4 linked regions of the Yarrowia lipolytica genome follow. The main gene of each other region encodes a partner of the protein of the gene in region 2 in a complex. Links are inferred from orthologs where the notes say so. Each region holds a gene or a part of one and is shown on either strand. Other genes may lie near its edges. The genes, in order: YALI1_C26580g, YALI1_E31248g, YALI1_A05473g and YALI1_D31568g.

Evidence for each region.
Region 1: the proteins of YALI1_E31248g (region 2) and YALI1_C26580g are in contact, whole or in part, in a crystal structure (PDB 5OKI), measured with the Saccharomyces cerevisiae proteins. The link is inferred for Yarrowia lipolytica from reciprocal best matches to the Saccharomyces cerevisiae genes POL2 and DCC1. Residues at the interface, in NP_014137.1 of Saccharomyces cerevisiae: Glu125, Gly126, Gly127, Val285, Phe320, Asp334, Phe346, Thr348, Phe350, Arg361, Glu364, His365, Asp368, Val369; in NP_009913.2 of Saccharomyces cerevisiae: Met356, Lys357, Ser360, Met363, Lys364, Arg367, Arg368, Lys369, Arg370, Gly372, Arg380.
Region 3: the proteins of YALI1_E31248g (region 2) and YALI1_A05473g are in contact, whole or in part, in a cryo-EM structure (PDB 6WJV), measured with the Saccharomyces cerevisiae proteins. The link is inferred for Yarrowia lipolytica from reciprocal best matches to the Saccharomyces cerevisiae genes POL2 and DPB4. Residues at the interface, in NP_014137.1 of Saccharomyces cerevisiae: Val1270, Gly1271, Trp1272, Leu1273, Tyr1275, Lys1277, Ile1278, Trp1280, Lys1281, Ile1282, Ala1284, Arg1287, Glu1302, Met1309, Ile1310, Lys1345, Asn1348, Lys1581, Glu1582, Glu1583, Arg1584, Gly1585, Leu1586, Leu1607; in NP_010406.3 of Saccharomyces cerevisiae: Ser18, Tyr19, Ile20, Lys21, Glu22, Gln23, Glu24, Ile26, Gln29, Asp30, Arg65, Val69, Asn72, His73, Leu76, Phe77, Arg79, Glu80, Val92, Asp93, His101, Ile102, Gly103, Ala106, Pro110, Arg112, Asp113, Asp116, Gln119, Glu123.
Region 4: the proteins of YALI1_E31248g (region 2) and YALI1_D31568g are in contact, whole or in part, in a cryo-EM structure (PDB 6S2F), measured with the Saccharomyces cerevisiae proteins. The link is inferred for Yarrowia lipolytica from reciprocal best matches to the Saccharomyces cerevisiae genes POL2 and CTF18. Residues at the interface, in NP_014137.1 of Saccharomyces cerevisiae: Glu333, Asp334, Phe335, Glu336, Tyr337, Thr338, Asn450, Ile452, Gln468, Glu472, Val475, Glu1038, Asp1039, Glu1040; in NP_013795.1 of Saccharomyces cerevisiae: Lys717, Trp719, Val720, Lys721, Gly725, Phe726, Ser727, Asn728, Ala729, Val730, Arg731, Lys732, Asn733.

Annotation. Positions count from the first base shown.
Region 1 is NC_090772.1:2,656,512-2,659,861, reverse strand, and holds YALI1_C26580g (uncharacterized protein), read left to right. Parts: upstream 1-1,783; coding exon 1,784-2,812; downstream 2,813-3,350. Other genes in the region: YALI1_C26597g (uncharacterized protein), read left to right, coding at 100-1,305; YALI1_C26566g (uncharacterized protein), read right to left, coding at 2,881-3,085, 3,135-3,211. UniProt on the Saccharomyces cerevisiae protein: Component of the RFC-like complex CTF18-RFC which is required for efficient establishment of chromosome cohesion during S-phase and may load or unload POL30/PCNA.
Region 2 is NC_090774.1:3,123,108-3,130,883, reverse strand, and holds the start of YALI1_E31248g (uncharacterized protein), read right to left. Parts: upstream 6,018-7,776; coding exon 5,592-6,017; intron 5,407-5,591; coding exon 5,255-5,406; intron 5,165-5,254; coding exon 1-5,164. UniProt on the Saccharomyces cerevisiae protein: Catalytic component of the DNA polymerase epsilon complex which participates in chromosomal DNA replication.
Region 3 is NC_090770.1:545,680-548,379, forward strand, and holds YALI1_A05473g (uncharacterized protein), read left to right. Parts: upstream 1-1,702; coding exon 1,703-2,194; downstream 2,195-2,700. Other genes in the region: YALI1_A05459g (uncharacterized protein), read right to left, coding at 1-244. UniProt on the Saccharomyces cerevisiae protein: As accessory component of the DNA polymerase epsilon (DNA polymerase II) participates in chromosomal DNA replication.
Region 4 is NC_090773.1:3,153,631-3,158,577, forward strand, and holds YALI1_D31568g (uncharacterized protein), read right to left. Parts: upstream 3,156-4,947; coding exon 543-3,155; downstream 1-542. UniProt on the Saccharomyces cerevisiae protein: Essential for the fidelity of chromosome transmission. Required for the DNA replication block checkpoint.

The sequences.
Region 1 (3,350 bases), on a different chromosome or scaffold from region 2:
AAGCACTTGTGCACTGCTGTACTGTCTTTTTGATAGCCCAGTTCGGTATCCAGTGTTTTACAGCCCACTGTCTTAAATTCTCTTTGAGGCTGAACGTATATGCACAGTGAATATCTATATTATTATCTCCTCTTCTTCCCCATTGTCATAGCCATGATACTCCGGTTACCACACGATATTCTGGTGGTAATCTGCGAACTTGTTTCACCAAGAGATCTTTGTGCTCTTCGTGAAACTTGTCAGCAACTCAGCCGCGATATTCCCGGGTCTTTCATCCTCGGATGTCTTCTCTCTGTGTGGGATTGCTGCAATATTGAGTACAGCAGATCGAACGACGATACTTGCCAGGCTCCGCACAAGCTGAACAATTCGCGGGTAGAGTTCTCAGATCAGGTCAAGTGCCCTGTCTACATTGATCAGCCGCTTCCACGCGACTTTTACTGTCTCTGCAAAGAGGTGGACGAGATCTTTCCCTGGGAGTACCACGACAACGGGATTTCTTTCGACGAGAAACTCTTGGATTTGACGGAGCATCCCGAAATGGGCCAAGGGAAGCCCAAGAAAGGACTCACGATGGGACGTTACTACGGAAGCACATATGCGTTTGGAGGAGCACCTGTGATCCAGACAAGACATTCTTCAAAGATGTTGGCTGGTGTGAGTGTTATAAATCTGATCTACTCTGGTATTCCCCAGACGAGAGGAATTGTCAACTTGGATGGACTTTCTCTGCCTTTCAGACTGCAGGTCAACGGAAAAAGTGTTCTTTTGCACGCTCGAGCCTGCGATTATAAGACCTCTGAAGTGATTTGTGTGTCCCCAGGTGGAAAAGTACATACTCAGAGGTGTCGACCCCGGAAAGCTGCTCCTGCTGGTATCGTTCACTACAACGACACCTTCTTCAACATTGATTTTCAAACCCGATACCGACTCCGGGTGTGCAAGTCTCTACATAGCTTGGACTCCGATCCACAACTAAATGAGCCGTACAAGGTGTATCAGGATGAAGAATATTCACAGTTCTGCCTCGTTTACAAGCCCACAGGAATTATAATAGGGCTAATTGACTTGGACAACCAGCAGACAGAAGTCTTTTCCGCACCAGGAACTGGATTTGTGGCCAGAAACTACAGCTCGATATCGTGTGAAGAATACCTCGTCATGGTTGGAATGTCCAAGGGCTCTCTTGGGATCTGGAAGTTTTCCATTAACCATCTCCGCAAGAGGTTCAGATTTCAACATGGAGATGGATTCGCTAACGCTTTGTCGCTAGCAGTCTCTCCCCTTGCCTCCAAGCCGAGATGACAGTGGTCTGATACTTCTTGAAATGTTGCTACAGTATGTAACTAATCGACACCATCCCGAGGCGGATAGTGGTCTTCAAAGGTGGGACTGGGTAGATATCACATGATCGGAGCTGGTTATCGGTTTGTGGAGGGGTATCCGAGTATGGATACAGAGAGAGGTACAATCGTCTATACAGAACAAGTACAATCATCTATACATACATGTGCTGTATATGTATTGTCGATCCCACTTATCTCACTCGAGCCAACGCAATGGGCTTATTGTCTTGATCGCTAAAGAATATTTGGTATACCATCTGGCTATATTGGATATTACTCGATTTTTGTTCCCATGTTTGAATATAAATAAATCGTCGCTATCCATTTTATCCGATTTTACTGTCTCTTTTACACTGTCCAGCTCCCTCCATCCACCTTTCTCATGCACGACGCGTCTAAATTAATTGAAACGTGTGCATCTCTTCAACACCACCATCATGAAGCTCAATTTTTACGAAGAGTACGACAAGCGACACATTTATCGGCTGATCGAGCTGCCCGAGCAGATTATCGGCGAGCTACGGGAGGAAGAGGAGGAGTACAAAAAAACCAAGGAACTGCAACATTACTCACTGACTCTGAGAGGCAAGGATCGGCTCGTTCTGTGCAACAAAAACACGACGTGGAACGTCAAGCAACGGAGCCAAAGCAACACCCTTCATCTGGTGGAGACACGTGACGATGGTCTCGCCAGCATTTGCATCACCCAGCCCATTTTGGAGTGCACTTTGAGTGAATCGCCTCAGTTGGACACCTCTGATCTGCCCTGTTACGACGGAGACAGTATCATGGGAGACCCGCGCATCGCCAAGCACGATCTGGACTCGTTAAGGAACCGCAGCAGCATGTCTGGAGTGCAATTCGACCAGGTTTGGGCGCAAATTGGAGGAGTGGAAGTCGATGGAGTGGCATGTGTGCTGGCTGATAGTCTGATCAAGGAGACAATAGACGATATTCTGACCTCGCTAGCATCACAGAAGCAGCAGCTTAACCTGGTGAGTGCATCTGACGTGGTGTCTGATACTTCTCCAGCAGTAGTTACGGCAGTGTTGAAGATGTTTGCTACAACGCCCATTGAGCCCTACAATCTCGATCTCGCGCACATCATCAGCTGGATTGGCAAAAACGCCCTTGGCGAGCCGGTGCAGATCGAACAGTTTATGATCATGTGGAAAAACTCGATTCCCATGATCTTTGACGAGGATATGGTCTCCCTGGACCTCATCAAAGGCTCCTATGCTCTTTGTGAGACTATGATTCACAAGCTCAGCGAAAGTGATTTGCCGCGTGACCCCAAGGAGCGGTTTGCTCGACTGTTCCAGATCAAGGACAAGTGGGAACTGGACGAAATCACACCGTTCATTGAACCCATCAAGATGAACAAGAGCACCAAGACGGAGAACTTTGTGCTCAAGTACGCTAAGAAGAGAAAGATCGGCGGCAAGGTGATGGTTTGTCGAGAGTGAAGAAACGACGACAAAGAACACAAAAGGAACAAACACAGTGGGATTATATTGAATTGCAAGTACAGATGTCAATAAGTAACCCCAGTCTGAGAACCCTGTAATTGAGAACTCTGGGACTGGGTACGCTGTCGATTCGAAGGACTGGCATGCGTTGCAACTTTTGCTTCATTTCTTTTTTTGCTGAAAGTCGCAGTCCGTCCCACATGATGGTATACAAACCTCTCCTGGAGGCTCTCCTCTGAATTGGGAACGATTCTAAGAAAATACAATGTGCTTCAGAGCAAACAGTTTGTAGTCATCATTGACGTTTCCGTCCATGAACGAAATGTGGGAACCTCCAGAGTGTCGCTGGTCCTTGTAAGATATGTGCAGCTTTGAAGGAGAAGGGGTCAGTCGCATGGTAGCATTAGACGGAATCTCGCCTACCAAAAGAAGTGAGCCAGTATCCTGGGACGTAGCCCGTCCTCTACGGCCAATTGTGCCGAAATCTTGAGAGAGATTTCGTCCCGATACCCTGAAAGAAACTGGATGATGACTA
Region 2 (7,776 bases):
AATGTACTCCTGGACCCACTTGGAAAATTCCTGCTGTAGAGTCTCAGGCAAGAAGTTGGCAATGTGCCAATGCATCAACAGAGACTCGCTCTGCTTGGAGGGGTCAACAATGACGTCAGACGAGTAGCCCCCGTAGTTCCACTTGTCCATCCACAGGAAGGTGTCCCAGTAGCGAGTAATGTCGACAGAGACATACTTGAGAATGGGATGGGTTCTGATCTGCCGAACAATGTAGTTGGAGTACGAGTACACCAGCTGAAGCTCCGTCTTCTCTGTCTGCAACACAAGCTTGTGTTGATCAGCGTACACCAACTGAGCCTGGTGCTTTCGACACTCTTGAGCAAGATACAGGAAGGTCTTCTTCGTCAGGTTCTGAGTGTGGTACAGCAACTGGGGGGAGAAAAGACGCGACTCAGGCGCATAAACCCACACTGTGAAGTTGTCCAGCAGATCCTGGGGAGGCCGTTTCTTGTCCCCGTGCTCCCACCACTCCTTGACCACCATTTTGAGGGTTTTGAGGGCGTGGGGGTTGAAGGCGTTGGAGAGAAGCTCGTTGTGAATGTCTCCCTCAGTATCCTGGATCACAGCACTCTGCAACAAGGCGTTGAGCACCAAATGCTCGATTTTGATCTCGAAACAAATGTTGGTGTACAGTCCAGGATTGTTGGCGACAGGCACTTCCGCCTGGTCAGTGAGGGCTCCTCCGGTAGACAGAGCAGCAGACCACCACAAAACGACACTGTTCTGGATGAGCCGACGAGCGTATGATACGTCAATCACGTCCCGGGTATCTTGCACATGACACAGAGGCATCTTGGCATACCGAGCCATCTCGACAAGGTACGAAATGTTGGCTCCATGTGACAAGAACGATGCAATCAGCCGTCGAACCAGATCCCGTTGCCATCCAACAGCAGCAGTAGACGGAGGAACGGGTCTCAGCCGAATACAGGGGATTCTGGCCAGGGCAGCCACCTTTTCATCCACGTTTCTGTCCGGAGAATGGAGTGCAAACACCAGCTGGCCGTTTCGGGAGCCAGACAGTGAGTCACACGCCTTGGACACCTTCTGCAGCATTCGTCGGTGGTTGGAACAGTACTCCACCTCGTACTGCATTGTGTCGGGGAAGGAAAAGACGGTGCAATCGTCCATGTTCTGCTTGTACCGTTCTCCACGTCGCAGACGGGCGTACTCCTTCGAGATGTCAGGTAACTTTTCACTGGAAGACGACTGGTGCACAAACACAAGAGCTGGTGCGTCCCAGGTGGGTGTGATGACAAATATCTCCACGGCAGAAGAAACCACGTGCACAATGTGAGCGTAGGAGAGTCCTGAGTTTTGCAGGTAGGACCGCGAGTCACCTGACTTGAACCATTTGGCCTCAAAGCCATGGGTGAAGCCCTTGGAGAGGATACCAGGAGTGGAGGCATCAAGATGGAATGTGGATCCAAGCTCAATGAGGGCACGTGAATCAGGCGACACGTCGGCCTCGTAGATTTTCGTCACGTGAGGGTCCTTCAGCGGAGACTCCGGGTTAGTCATCTCCGTCTGGTACATGTCTTCAGACATGACTGCTCGGTAGAGGTACTTGGGTTGCTCCTCTTCAGCCACAGCCATGGCATTGGTCACGTCAGTGAACTTATCCCACTTCAGCGGCTCACGAGACCCCACGTACACCTTGCGCGGCACATTGATCTGCACCCGTTGCATCTTGTCTCCGATGATGACGCTGGCCTCCACCTGGCCAGGTTTTTCGGCAGCATGGATGGACACCAGGTGCCAGGCGTCTTGAGCCAGGTGGGCGTTCTTGGACACCCACGAAGAAGCGATGCCATTGTCGGACTCGCCAAAAAGATGGGCTCTTCGGTCTCGCTGAGCCTTCTGATGCTTCCACTTGACCTTGGCGTACTTAATGTAGGCTGCATAGTCGGCGAACGGATCGGGGGCCTTGTGAGGAAGAGAGGGAGTGGACTTGTCCGTTTCCTCAACAGTTTTGCGCACTCGTTTAGACACAACCACTCGGGCAGGCACTCCAGGGGGTCTGGAAGGAGAAGGAGTGGTCCCGATGCTTTCAATGTCGCCCACCTGGATCTCCATGACCTCATCTTCTTCACTGAGAATGGGCTCAGGAGTGGGAAGTTTACCCTTGACAAAATAAGAGCTCAGGGTGCTCTGCTTGATGGGGTTATCTCGTTGCTTGATGATGTCAGAAGCCCATTCGGGGGGATCACAGCCTCGAACGGGGTTCTTGAGACCCAACAGAATGGCAGGAATCACCACAAGCTTGTTGATAGTCGTCGCCAGACGTTCTCGATAGTACATCCAGTCAATGACGTCTCGGGGGTCCGTGGATTCCCATCGAGGGCCCATCCACCGTTTCAAGAACCGCAGCTTTTCGTCCAGAGATTCGGTTTCGAAAACCAGAGTGGGAATAGCTCGATCAGCAGTTGAAGAGTCCTCGTCGGAACCCTTCTTAGCCTCAGGAACAGGCATGGAGTTCTTGGTTCGAACCGCAATGATGTACTTGGTTGACAGCTTGCCTCCCGTGAGAATGGAGTCGCCCATAATCTCCGCTAGACGACGGGCAGTCGTCAGAGCAGTACTCTTCTGAGAGCCGTACTCATGCACAGGCTTGGACATGGACTTGTTCTCACAAACCAGGTCAATGAGCTCTTCGTCGGATAGGTTCTTGCCGCGAGAGTCAATCACTGCCAGCCAAGCTTCAGCCACTCGAGCCTGAGCAGCATAACACTCGACGAGATTGGAGCCCTCCAGAAACGTGTCCCACAGCTGTGACTGAAACTTTTTGATCAACGACAGCTCTCCTCGTCGCTTGACCTCGAAGCCCTTAAGCTCGACAATCTTATTGCGGTCGTCAAAAACCACGTACCGCTTTTTGAGACCCTTACCCTTATCAGTCGACGTAGGCATCATCATGCACTTGTAGGGTCCGTCGAGCTCGAAGAAGATGGAGTTTTCTGAATGAGTGTCGTACTTCCCAGTCTCGGGATTCAGCTTCTGGTACTGGTGGTTGGTAAAGTCTCTGTGCACCAAGTAGTTCATGATAGAACAGGGATACTCAAGCTCGTAGCTGGAACCATCCTTAAACTTGCACTTGAACTTCTCGGGGAAGGTCTTGGGCAGCATACACCAAATACCGTCTGTATCGAGCTCAAGAGGAATACCAAGACCTTCCATTGTCTGACGGGCAATCTTGATGATCTTGGCTCCAGTGTAACAAGTCACACCGGCCATCTCCATGGAGTACCATCGAGAACCCTTTCGCATAACATAACCGTAGAAGGAGTTGAGAATGACTTTGTGGGCCAGCTGCATCGAGTCGTTGGTGATAGCCATCTTCTTGGCCTCCTCTCGAGACGCAGGATCGGAAGCAGAAGCAGCCTCCTTGTTCCACCTTTTCGCCTTTGTCTTGTAGTCGATTCGACGCTGTTTGAACTCTTGCACAACATCGACATAGAAGGGGTTTTCTCGCTGGCAAACAATGGTCTTTTGCACAGTCGTCTCCGAGTCCGTCTTTCGAGCCTTGGTCTTGAGCGAAAAGGCCGCCACTCGCTCCTTGAGCTTGTTAGCCTGCTCCTGACCAGACAATCCAGCCCAGCCCTTTCGTTTCTGGAACTTTTCCCGCTCAGTCATACCTTCATCGTACGAGATCTCGACAGATGAGCCGTTTCCGAAACGACCTCCGGAGTACTCCTCAACCAGACCCTGCTTTAGGTTGTTGACATCTCCCTTTGACACAGGGTAATAGTCGACTCGTCGAGCCCACTCTAGTTCACGTGCGCACGTCTTGTCGGGACGGTTGTAGTCACAAACAGCACAGTCCTTTTCGTCTACCATGGAGTCGGGCTGAAGTCGGTTGGTCGTCATGATGTTGGGGTACATAGACGCGACATCCACGTGGTAAATGAGCGGGTAATCGGATCGCTTGGGGTTGGATTTGAGCTCCTGAAGCTGTTCGATGATCTGGTCTCTTACTTCATCCAAGTTCTCAAAATCAGACGATTTCTTTCCAGCCTCAACAGTGACGCAAAACTCGAGAGTCTCGTCTAAATTGACCAGTAGCTCGTCGATACTGTTAGTATCAATGTCGAAATCGACCATGATGTCGCTTCGAAACACGCCAGCAGCCAAGGACTCCACGTGGCCACCGGTGTACGTCTCGTTATCGACCAGATGACCCTTGTAATGACGCTCAAGAGCAGGTTTGTGCTTGTCGGGAAGAATGATGCGTCCCTCATAAGCCTTGACCATGAGGAGCATCTCGCAAAGAGTACCTGTACCTTTTCGTAGCACTGCATCGGGGTTGAGGGGAATAATGCAACACAGAGAGAAGATGAACGGATGCACATACTTCATGTAGAGATAATAGGTGGCCACAGCATCGGAAACAGAATATTCCGCGAGAATCTGAGGATGGTCTCGTGCATAAGGAGTCATCTTTTCCGGATCGAGCTCCTTGGGATCGTAACTCAGCTTCACCTTTGTCACAGCCTTGAGACCCTGAGAACCCTGAGGCAAGTACGAGTCTCGCTTGACCCAGTTGAGACAGTCCATATGCACACAATAGGAACACTCGTATCTCTCTTCCTCCACCTTTTTCCATCCAATCTCGTCGTAGAGATTCATTCCATGGAAGGCTGTTCGTTTGTCGATGAATGGGAAGTCGAAAAAGTCTCCGTTGTAGGAAGTCATCACCGTGGGACACACGTCTCGAATGTGCTCAAACCACTTTTCCAACACAGCCTTCTCGTTAGGCTCGTTGAAAATGGTGAAATTACCGGGGAATTCGGGCTTGGGAGTGTACTCAAAGTCCTCAATGTCTTCACTCACCATTTCTCGGTTGGTGATGAGGAAACCCTCGCCGTCAATCATGTACGAAATCATCATGATTCTGTCGACGGCTGAGTCGGGGAAACGAAGGGGAGCCTTTTCGGTCTCAATGTCGTATGCCATGACGACTGGATCGGCTCGGTACTCTCGTTCAACCATGTGTTTGAGCACAGCCGTGTCGTTTTCCTTGGTGACCTCGTACCAGTTTCCCACACGAATGTCCAGATCAATGGCCACTCGGGTTTCAAACGGCACATCAAATTCCTTGATGCCAGTGATGGATGATTCTACGTCTGTGCTGGTGTCCACATCGCTGGGTTAATATTGAACATCTTGTTTGAAGACTGACCACGTGACTTCAACACAGTCTTTCTCTTGCCTCTCCCCTCTTTCTCTTACTCACCCTTCAAGCTCATAAATGTTGAGATGCTGCTCTGTCTGCTGTGTCTGTCGGTCGACAATCTTGCTGAGCGTGAAACGTGTCGAGCTCAGATCCTCCGAGTTGTGAAATTCCAATTTCACCGCCTTTCGTTTCTTTCCTGTGAGATGGTTTGTCTGTGTTAGCCAATTGTCACACACGGCTTAATAGCAAGAATTACAGCAGTAAGAATCACAGCAGTAAGAATCACTCAGCAGTAATGGACTCACTGCAATCAGCGAGATGCTGAGAGTTCGTTATCTCTCCCACTCATTGCAATGTCTGCCACTCAACTCATCCAGGGCTGCTTGTTATCACTCACCAAGTTCAAATCTTCCTTTGTAACAATTTCCGTGCTTGCGAGCACCCGCTCAAACATCTTTTCCATGAGATCCTTCACCGCATGCTCAGTATGAGGCTTGCAAATGACAAAAAAGTAGGGCCGGAACACCACCGTCGACTTGAAGTTGCCTCCCTCCTCGTCGTAGAAGTAGTAGTCCACCGCTGCCAGGCCCCGCTCGGCCGTTTCCGACTGTAGCAACGTCTCGTGCATGTTGACCAGCCACCCGACTCGTTTTTCATCGCCAGAGAAGCGAGTAAAACCCATTCGGTCGTCTATGGCATCTCGGCGTTCGACTGCGGCAAACTTTTGACCCAGCTGCTCGATCCGCTCCAGCCTTCGCCGCTCAAACTCGTCACTGCGCTGTTTCACCACATGGGTGTTGTTTCCGTTAAAAGGTCGACCCATGGGTGTTATGTAGTGTGGTGTTGAGATGTAGTTATAGTGGGTCAATATTCAGACGCGTAAAAATATTGGTGTAGCTGTACACCCAACCTTATTCAACCAAGGGGTGTTTTTCTACCGTGCTTTTCACACAGCAATGGAGGAGATTTGAGATAAAGATGGAGCTTGAAAGTGGATATTTTGACACTTAAATAACCATTCAAATCTTTAAAATGCTCAAAAAGTGATCTCAACTACCAGAATGAAGGGGTTGTTTGCGTGGTCTGGAGAAAACACCAACCAAAACTGTAATACAAAAGTACAAGTTCAAGGTAATGTAAGCACACTGAAGTTTCTGCATTTCCTCATGTATATATATATATAATTTGAAGTTGTTCTAGAATGGAAAAATGTACACATAAGAATTTCCGCATGTTTTCGAGGTCGAATGGCCATATATTGTCACCCTCAAACGCCTTGTTTCGTCTTGTAAACCCCCCCTCACTCTATGACACGCTTCTAGTACACAGCTCAAAGTTTCGCGTTGCGCCTGTCCCAATTGGGATAATTAATGGCTCTATGATGCAGTCTGAGATTACTAGAGATATGAGGGGGAAAAATGGGACGCGACTTTAAATTCGTGGAGTTGATTTTACTCATTTTGAATAGTTAAATATCTAGTTAATAGACTAACTCTTAACCTGTGACAACTAACGGTAAGCATAATTAAACCGCCAAAAGTTGCTACGGCCAAGATTACAAAGCTGAGACGGCAATATTTTCCCACTCAAACATTTGCGTCTACTTGTACCTTAAAAAACAGTCATATCCTGTTCTTACACCTCTCCTAATCTTTAATTTTACCCTATTTTTCCAGCATTTTTCGGTGATATTCATTCTCTAGAAGTTTTACGGATGCAATTTCCCGATTGGGTAAGCCCGCACGATGAAGTGTGAAGTGTTTTTTCTCAGCCCAACTCTGCATGCTTTTTGCAAACATGTGATTAGCCACGATAAGCCTTCCTGTTTAGGCATTTGGATGCGGTGTGGGTGAAATGTATGAGCTATAGGGTGAAATTTTGGGACAGCACGTAAGATGGAGGAGTTCTGAGGAGTGGGCGGGGATTAGATGCCTTGTCAGAGGAGATTCGAGTGGTGATGTGGAATTGGGTTGTTTTATGGCCGTATAACAGTTCATATGTACGTTACATTACTTGGGTTTAGTTGAATAATTTACATTTAGTTGAGAATAGTTGGCCATGATTACCATAGTTAAGGGAAGCCGCATATCTCACTTATACTCCGCGGAAGCAGCCAGTGTGTATATCTTTACACATCCGAAGACTATCTCAGTCTGCGCATAGAGATTCCCACTGTGGAAAAGCCACTAACGAGTTTCTGTCGTAACCCTTGTCTGGCCCGATAAGATTGACTAGCTCCAACTCTGTACGATGTTGGATACGTCAATGGATGGTTGAAGTGTGTAGATATGGAGTCAACGTCTTATTCCCGATATCCCCAAGTCTGATATCAACTCCCTGAATGATTCTGTACGTCTAATGGCCTCAAAAAATACAAACATGCCTCTCAATCTTCCCTTCTATATATCTGCCCCTCTCTGAGTCACCATTACCTGTGGTTACTTGTACTATTGACTTTTGACCGGTTCTCGCTTTAGATGTCTTGTGGAAGGCTATTTGGAACTCTGTGTGAGGAGTCTGTCTTGACGAGGTCAGTATAAGAGTATGCTGTTGGCCTCCAGAAAGCCGTTCAAAAACAACGC
Region 3 (2,700 bases), on a different chromosome or scaffold from region 2:
ACGGTGATCTGGAGCGGGTAGGACGGGGAATATAACTGAAATTAAATACCCAATAATAGGGAAAACGTCGGGGAAAAAAAAAAGAATAAATCATTGAAACGATGGTAAACACAATGAAATACATTGTTAAGTTTCTACACATCTTTTTCGTCATCTTATATGCATTTCTTGAAAACACCAACTTAAGCCTATTGTTCTCGAGAGCGGGAATAGAAGGAAGCCGCAGAAAGCCGAATCCACACATATTTCCGGTAAATCAAAAGAGCAAGCTACAGAAACGTGCTTATTAAGCAGAAATGAAGACGACACATGGCACAAACACCGGCTCCTCGGCCACACTTCACCCGTTACTTGCTATTTGAACACCTTGTCTGATTGGTCATCAAGGGCCACTATCCGTTAACGTGTGGCTTGTCACCAGACTTGCACACTTTGAGGCTATTTTATTTGCTTAAATTGTGAGGAAGGCAAAAAAAAAAAAGAACAAATGAAAACACGAAATCCAGCCTGTGCCGTGCCATGCAATACAAGTAGCAAATAATATGACAAGGGGGACTTGTCTGGAGAGGTTGTTTGGAGGGTGTGGTAGAGGAATTGAGGGTCAATTGGCTTGAATTGATCAACACGTCTTCATGGTATTTGAACTTGAATTCTTTTACAACTACAATATTATACAATACGAGTTGGAGTAAAAACTCGTTTAAAATACAGTGTATATATTCATCCGACTAAATTTCGGATAAACAGGACTACTCAAAATAAGATTTCGGATCCCCCAACAATGCGGTTCAATTTGAGGAGTGGGTGAGGGGGATGTGTTTCAGAGGGCTTAGACTGGGAGCGGATGACACTAGAGTTGAAAAATTGGTCTGTTTCGTGCATTTTTGGGCAAGTTATAGAGATTGTAGTGGAGTGTACTTGTTCAACTATGTACGATAATTAGAAGGTTTTTGAATTTTTGATGGACAATACGAACACTTACGCTGGGTGTTACGTAAGGCTTTTTCAGCAACCAATGGAAAGGGAAAAGGGAGGTGTCCAAGGGAGGTGTCCAGAAATGAGCGTCGTGGGGTATTTGGCAAGTAGTATGAAGAGGTCGGCGATCGTGGTCAGGAGTGGTGCACTTTTTTTTAATCAGTTGATTCGTTTAACAGAATCTAGTGATTATATGATGACTTTTTTGAATGTTTTCGGAAAATCAGAAGAAATCATATCAAGTCACAGAGAAGAAATCAGATCGAGTCACAAAAACACAATCACTGAGTCAAGTATGTACATACGAGTAGATATCTGTGTTTCATCAATGTAGTTTTCGAATCGAAAATATAACATTCAAAGTAGATGTTGATTCAAGTATCGTAAAGTACGTACATACTGTGTATCGGTAGTTGCCTTCACTTCTGGACAAGGGTACAAGTACAATGTGTTATGTAGTGCGGCATTCGTACTCGCACTCGTATCGTACATTGTTCCTGTATTCCTACTGGATACATCATATAACCCGTTTTAATACCGCTTATTTTGTCTCGTGCCAAGGACATCTTTTTTCCCCCATTATTCCCCAATTCCCACAACAATCCTGAAAAAACAAATAAACTCGCCAAAAACAGGCCAATTTAAATTACGTGACGCAACACGATACAGCTGATGCGCCAACATCTCTGTTCGTCCATCAACCACACCTCACACCGTCACTTCCACAATGCCGCCCAAAGGACACAAAAAAACCGCCGACGGCGACTTCCGACCCGTCAACTCGGCCGGTAACACGATACAGGCCAAGCAAAAGTACTCGATCGACGATCTCCTGTACCCCAAATCAACCATCAAGAATCTGGCCAAGGAGACACTGCCAGATGACGCCATCATTTCCAAGGACGCGTTGACGGCCATCCAGCGAGCTGCCACGCTGTTTGTGTCGTACATGGCGAGCCACGGAAACGCGTCGGCCGAGGCTGGAGGCCGAAAGAAGATAACGCCCCAGGACGTTTTCGTGGCCCTTAAGGACGTTGATCTGGCTCAGTTTGTGCCCAGTGTGACCCAGAGTGTCAACGAGTTCGAACAGGAAGTTGCACAAAGGAAGAAGGACAAGGTTGTACGCGCCCAGGACGACCAGGACCATATTTCCAGCTCAGAGTCGGAAACCGAGGCGACAGAGGAAGAGGGCAACAAAAGAATTAGAACTGATGAGTAGAAGACGAGAAGGACAACGTGGCAACAGGACATTTAGATGCCATACTGAAAGATGCGAACATACTCAACACGCAGCTACGTGTGGTCAAGGTCACAAGCAGAAAGCCCTGATTGCAGTCAAAACACACTCTCCACCTGGCGCAAAAGCACAACCGACACATACGTTATCGCACGATAATAACCACTTACATACATGCCGCAACGGCATCAATACATGCACATTTATTTGATACACAGCAAGCCTACTGCCGTGCACTTGGGGCGGGGGTGTCTTAGATGCCCCGTTGTCATTGCCAGAACCCACGATGTAAAAGATCTGGACAGTTGCCCATATTGAATAATGAGCATGTCTTGATTCGCGTCGTACAGCACGACCAGACTATATGTTCTGGTCTCTTTCCGGTGACTCGAGCCTGTTTGTCATCCCAAGAGCGAGCTGACGAGTTCCACCAAATAAGGCAGCTTGTACTTAATGGTAATGGTCAGATCGACAGCTCAAGGCCTTTT
Region 4 (4,947 bases), on a different chromosome or scaffold from region 2:
TAATGACAGAGTCATAATCCCCTCTTATTGACACAGCATGGTGACCTGAAACCAACTGGCACGCCACTCACCGTTCCGCACATGGTTTCCACCCGTGAAAGCTGTCATGAAACTTCCTGGCTCACCTGGCTCGAATCCAAGCGGCATTGCCCCCGCAGACAGGTCTCCCAGGGTGCATGTACATTTCTGAGTCGATTGTTGTCTACTCTGAACCTCTGACCATAATTCTAGAGTCACCCTGTTGAGATCTTCCGACCCCATATGGCCCAGACTTTGTTCTCCTCTCAGGCCGAGCATTTGGCATTAAGAACTCCATGGGGCGCAACAAAGACTGTCATCAGTTCGCATTGAGGGCGTGTGTAGTTCTACTTCTGGCTCGGACAGTGTGACCATGCCCCAATCAGTCCTAAAGTCACCACATTCCAAAACTCGATCGCAGTCATTCCTGCCAAGCAAAGCCGTGGCTGTCCACAACAGAAGTTTGTCCTACTTGGCCTTGCTACGCGACCATGTACACTGTATACATTTGTATTCATTGTATCTTACTCCATCCACAACTGCTCCCAGGTGAGGTCCCGCCGGACAGCGTTGGAGTAGCCCTCAAAGTACGACACCCACGTGTTCAGCGTGTCTTGTTGCTCCTTGGCCTCGTTGCGGACCACCTGCGACGGCGTGATCTCGACCGTTTCCTTGATAAAGAAGTCCAGCAGGGTGGACGACTTGGATGGCTTTTTTGCCGTTGACGAAGATGGCGGGGGCCCGCCGCGCGTCCTCGGATCCGGGTCTCGTGCCAGATCATGTGCCGCCACGTGTCTCTTGTTGGGTTGCACCTGGGAAAATTCGCCTGGCCGCTTGAGGGTCGGGTCCGGGGTGAGGATCTTGTAAAGGGACTCGAGGAACACGGAGTTTGTGTCCCGGGGCTGGCCATCCGGGGCACGTGACAGGTCGCACACCGGCGGCACAAACACGTACACGTCTTCCCTCTTGGAGGAGATTTCATTGTACACGTTCTCCTTCTTGAGGGACACTCCCAGGGAGGTGAGAGATTCTGCGAGAGACGCCATTTGTTCCGGGGTGACTCCTCTCTGTTGTCGGGTCATAGTGTCCAGGAACATTCCCAGATCATCTAGCAGCGTTTCTTTGTTGAGATACCGCCTTAGTTCGACGGGAATGTTGCTGTAGATGTCGTTGAGACGCAGCTTTTGGGTCTGAGTCTGGTTGGTGAGGGAGTAGTCGGTTTCGACGTTGGTCACGTGGTTTTTGGTGGTGGATCCAAACATCAGCGAGAAGGCCGCGAGCGTATACGGGTGGTAACTGTCGCGGGACCCCAGCGTGTTGGCGAGGTCGTACAGGTGGTACCAGTCATCGAGTTTGGCAATGTTGGTGAGTTGGGTGAGGTTGCCTGCTCCCGAAAGGCACGTGATGTAGGCTGAGAAGGCTCCAAACACAAGTTTATTCCATTCTCCGCATCGCAGCGATCTCTGGCACAAGTTTTCCACGTGGTTAGCCCGGTCTTTGCCCACGGGCACGTGACTGAAGAGTGAACTGACAATGTTGTTCCACAGCGCCGACTTGTCCACCAGATTGGCCGTGTCGGCCTCGGGGGTTCCAAACTGCAGAATGTTGATGGCTTGTCGAATGTCTCCGTCGGTGGAGTTGCAGATGTCTGCCAGGAATCTGTTTTGTTTGGAGGTGAGTTTTTGCAGCTTCATCTCCGTTCGAAACACGTTTTGCACGATTCGCAGCGATTGAGCTGGCGACAGTCGGCCGTAGTTGACGATTCGACAATGCGGCCGGAGTTTGTACAGCAACCCGTGGAGGTTGTTTGCGATGCAGATGATGGGTCGGCTGATGAGGGTGTTGAGTTTGTCTTTGGCGCTGGTCTTTTTATGTCTGTTTTTCCGCTCATGCCATAACTCCTCCTTTTCGTCGCGCTGCACGAGCTTGACCAACTTGTCGATGAAGATTGGGTCCGCTCCGTCAATCTCGTCGAGAATCACGCAGTTAGGACGGTCTTTGGAAGTGACGGAGTGGGTTCTCATGGGACCCAAAACGCCCCGTCGGAACGCTTCGCTGCCACGGTCGTCAGACGCGTTCATCTCCAGCGTGTTGAACCCCAAATTCCGGGCCAAAACCCCACAGGCGGTGGTTTTTCCGGTTCCGGGCTCGCCGTGCACAAGCAGGATCCGCTTCTGGGGGCGGTCACGTGCCTCGCGCTCCTCGTAGACCCCACGTGATCCTGCGTGGACAGCATCTTCGATTCGTCCGCTTTTTTTAAGCCATTTTTCCCGCTGCTTGGCTTTGAATTGCACCGCCTGCGACGGAGTCTGGAAAATGAAGGAGTTCCATTCACTCAGCCAGTACAAAATGTCCTTGTGGCGGTCGGAATGGCCGTTCAGATCCAGCAGCTTTTGCGGCCGCAGTTTTTCCACCCAGAGGTGGCCGTCCCGTGACCCAATTCCAGACACGAGCAGACCCGCACGATGTCTCGAATCGCTGAATGCGTCTGCCGGAATTTTGGACGTATCGCAAGATGCCGTTTTCGGGCGGGTATTTCCGGTATCTCCAGCGGTAGGATTTGGCGTATTGCAAGTTTCGCTGCTGTCGAATTTTTGGCCCACCAGCTTCTGTCTGATGCCGCTCACATCGATTCCGTAGTGGTTCTTCAGCGATTCCTCCTCCTGTTGCATTGTTCGGAGCCGGGTCGTTTTGATGTACTTTTTCGCTCGCGAAAGGGTCATTCCGGAGTAGAGCGTGATGTATCGGGTGGGCGAAGTGCGGTCACGTGGCATATCACGTGACGGAGCGGCGGAGGCGGCAGAAGCTGGCAAGTCTTTGGGTTCGTTGGCTCTCAACATTTCCGCAATGAAGTCATCTTCCTCCGCCGCCGGCGACGGGAAGCGCGTCATGTGATTATCCAGGTCGCACATCTGGGTCACGTGGTTGGTCATGGGATCGCTGGTCGGTTCTACCTCCTCACCTCCCCGCTCCCCCTCCCCCTCATCCTCTTCGGCAGACATGGATAGATCAGAACCTTCGGAAAGCTCCATATCGGACTCGTCACGTGGAAGTTCACGTGACCGCGTTCCAACGCGCTGCAGCTCGTCCAGTGCGCTCCCGGACCCAAACAATCCTCCTCCCCAGTCTAGAGACATGGTGTTCAAAGGTGTGTCGAAGTGTCGAAAAGTGCTTAAAAAGTGCGTAAAAATGTGTTTTGGGCGCTCGGTTGGGTTGTCACGTGTCACGTGAGTGTTTTGTGGCGGTGCAGCAGCGGTTTTGAAGGTGTAGAGGCGTCCTGTAAAAGCGTCCTGTAGAGGTGTATCAGTGGTTGTAATTTGAAACGCGAAATTTCAATTAACGTAGAAGCGCGTTTTAGGTTGATGTTAGGGTTGGTTGGGTTGGGGTTCGTGGATCAGTGGATACAAAATACAAATACTTACAGTGTTACCACAATATGTTACAATAGTGGTTATAAATTTATTTTAAAGAATTCAATATAATAAAAAATTAATTAACATCCACTGAACAGCAACGATTAAGTATGCTCGTGTTATTCACTCACCAAATCACCCCCAAAACGCTTGAAACGTCCTTGGATGCATTTTACTTATTTATATTGTATTTTTATTTTTTATTTTATTTTTTATTTTTTATTAATTTATTAATTATTTATTTTTCCAGAACAAAAAAAAACACAAACAGATGTTCTTGTTTAGGTGCTGTTAATATTCTAACAAAGGTCTCAACAAAAATACCTGCTTGCAATTTTATGACCATCTCCAGAATGAAATTCTGTTGATGCCAAAATAACCACAATTTAGGATCAGTTAGAAACTCATTTATTCTGTATCTTCATGTATCGAAATATATTCTATTCAATTTATGGAACATGGAAATGCGACCTCAAGCCGGTTTTTTGATTTAACAATTCTTAACTATTCACTTGGCAATCCCATCAACTGACAGACTGGAGACAGCAGCCAAACACGGTGGGTGTTTGAGTATAGAAAGCAATTTTTGATAGTATCGATCGGTAAGTTGAGGTCCAGATAATACAGCGGTTCTTGTAAATATCGATATTCGGTATTTTATGGATGTTTTTAAACAGAGAGACGAGGAGATTTCTCATCAAAAGCTCAACATCGTTAACTGTTCTAATTCAGTTACTTGACAGTTTATAGGGAAAAATAAAAGAAGAAAAAAAAACACTGACTCCAGGACGTTCTGTGATGTGGAATTGAGCTTTTTTTTTTTTTTTTTTTTTTTTTTCACGTAATGAATATAACGTGAGTGGAAATTGTCCATTCAAAATAATTCAAACAAAATCGTCTGGAATTGACAGACTTGACGCAACTGACTGACTGAAAAGTCTGTCAGTTTTATACATTTTCACGTCAGACAGACTTATCAATTTCACATAAACCTGTTTATGGCCGTTAAATATATCATTTTACTCGCTATCATCTCCACATTCCAACGGTACCACTAAATAATCTATATCTCTTGGTTCTATGGTGTTGTGACGGAACGGGTTTAAAAACGCACTGGTGAGAAACATACCACCCCAGAAATAACTTCTGGTGCTCTCGTGAACCTACCAAGGTTTCACTGAGTGTCTCAGGGGTGCGAACAGGTACAGTATTCAATACCAGGGTCTGGTACACTGTAGTATAAGATCTGACTGGTCGAATTGCACTGTACAACCACTATAAAGTTGATTTGTTTTTTTTTTTCTTCTCTTCTTACACTCCACTTTATGACAGCTCGGTAAGTGTTGTCAGTGACACAAAAGGAATGTGAGGGCGCAGCGCGTTAGGTGGACTCCGGAAACTCTCTTCTTTTGCTGCTGATTGGAATGCCGTCTACGTGCTACGTGTACTGGGCGGAGACTGCGTAATTACTACATGGACTGTGTGGTATTGACTACATGGAATGCGCAGTGACTAA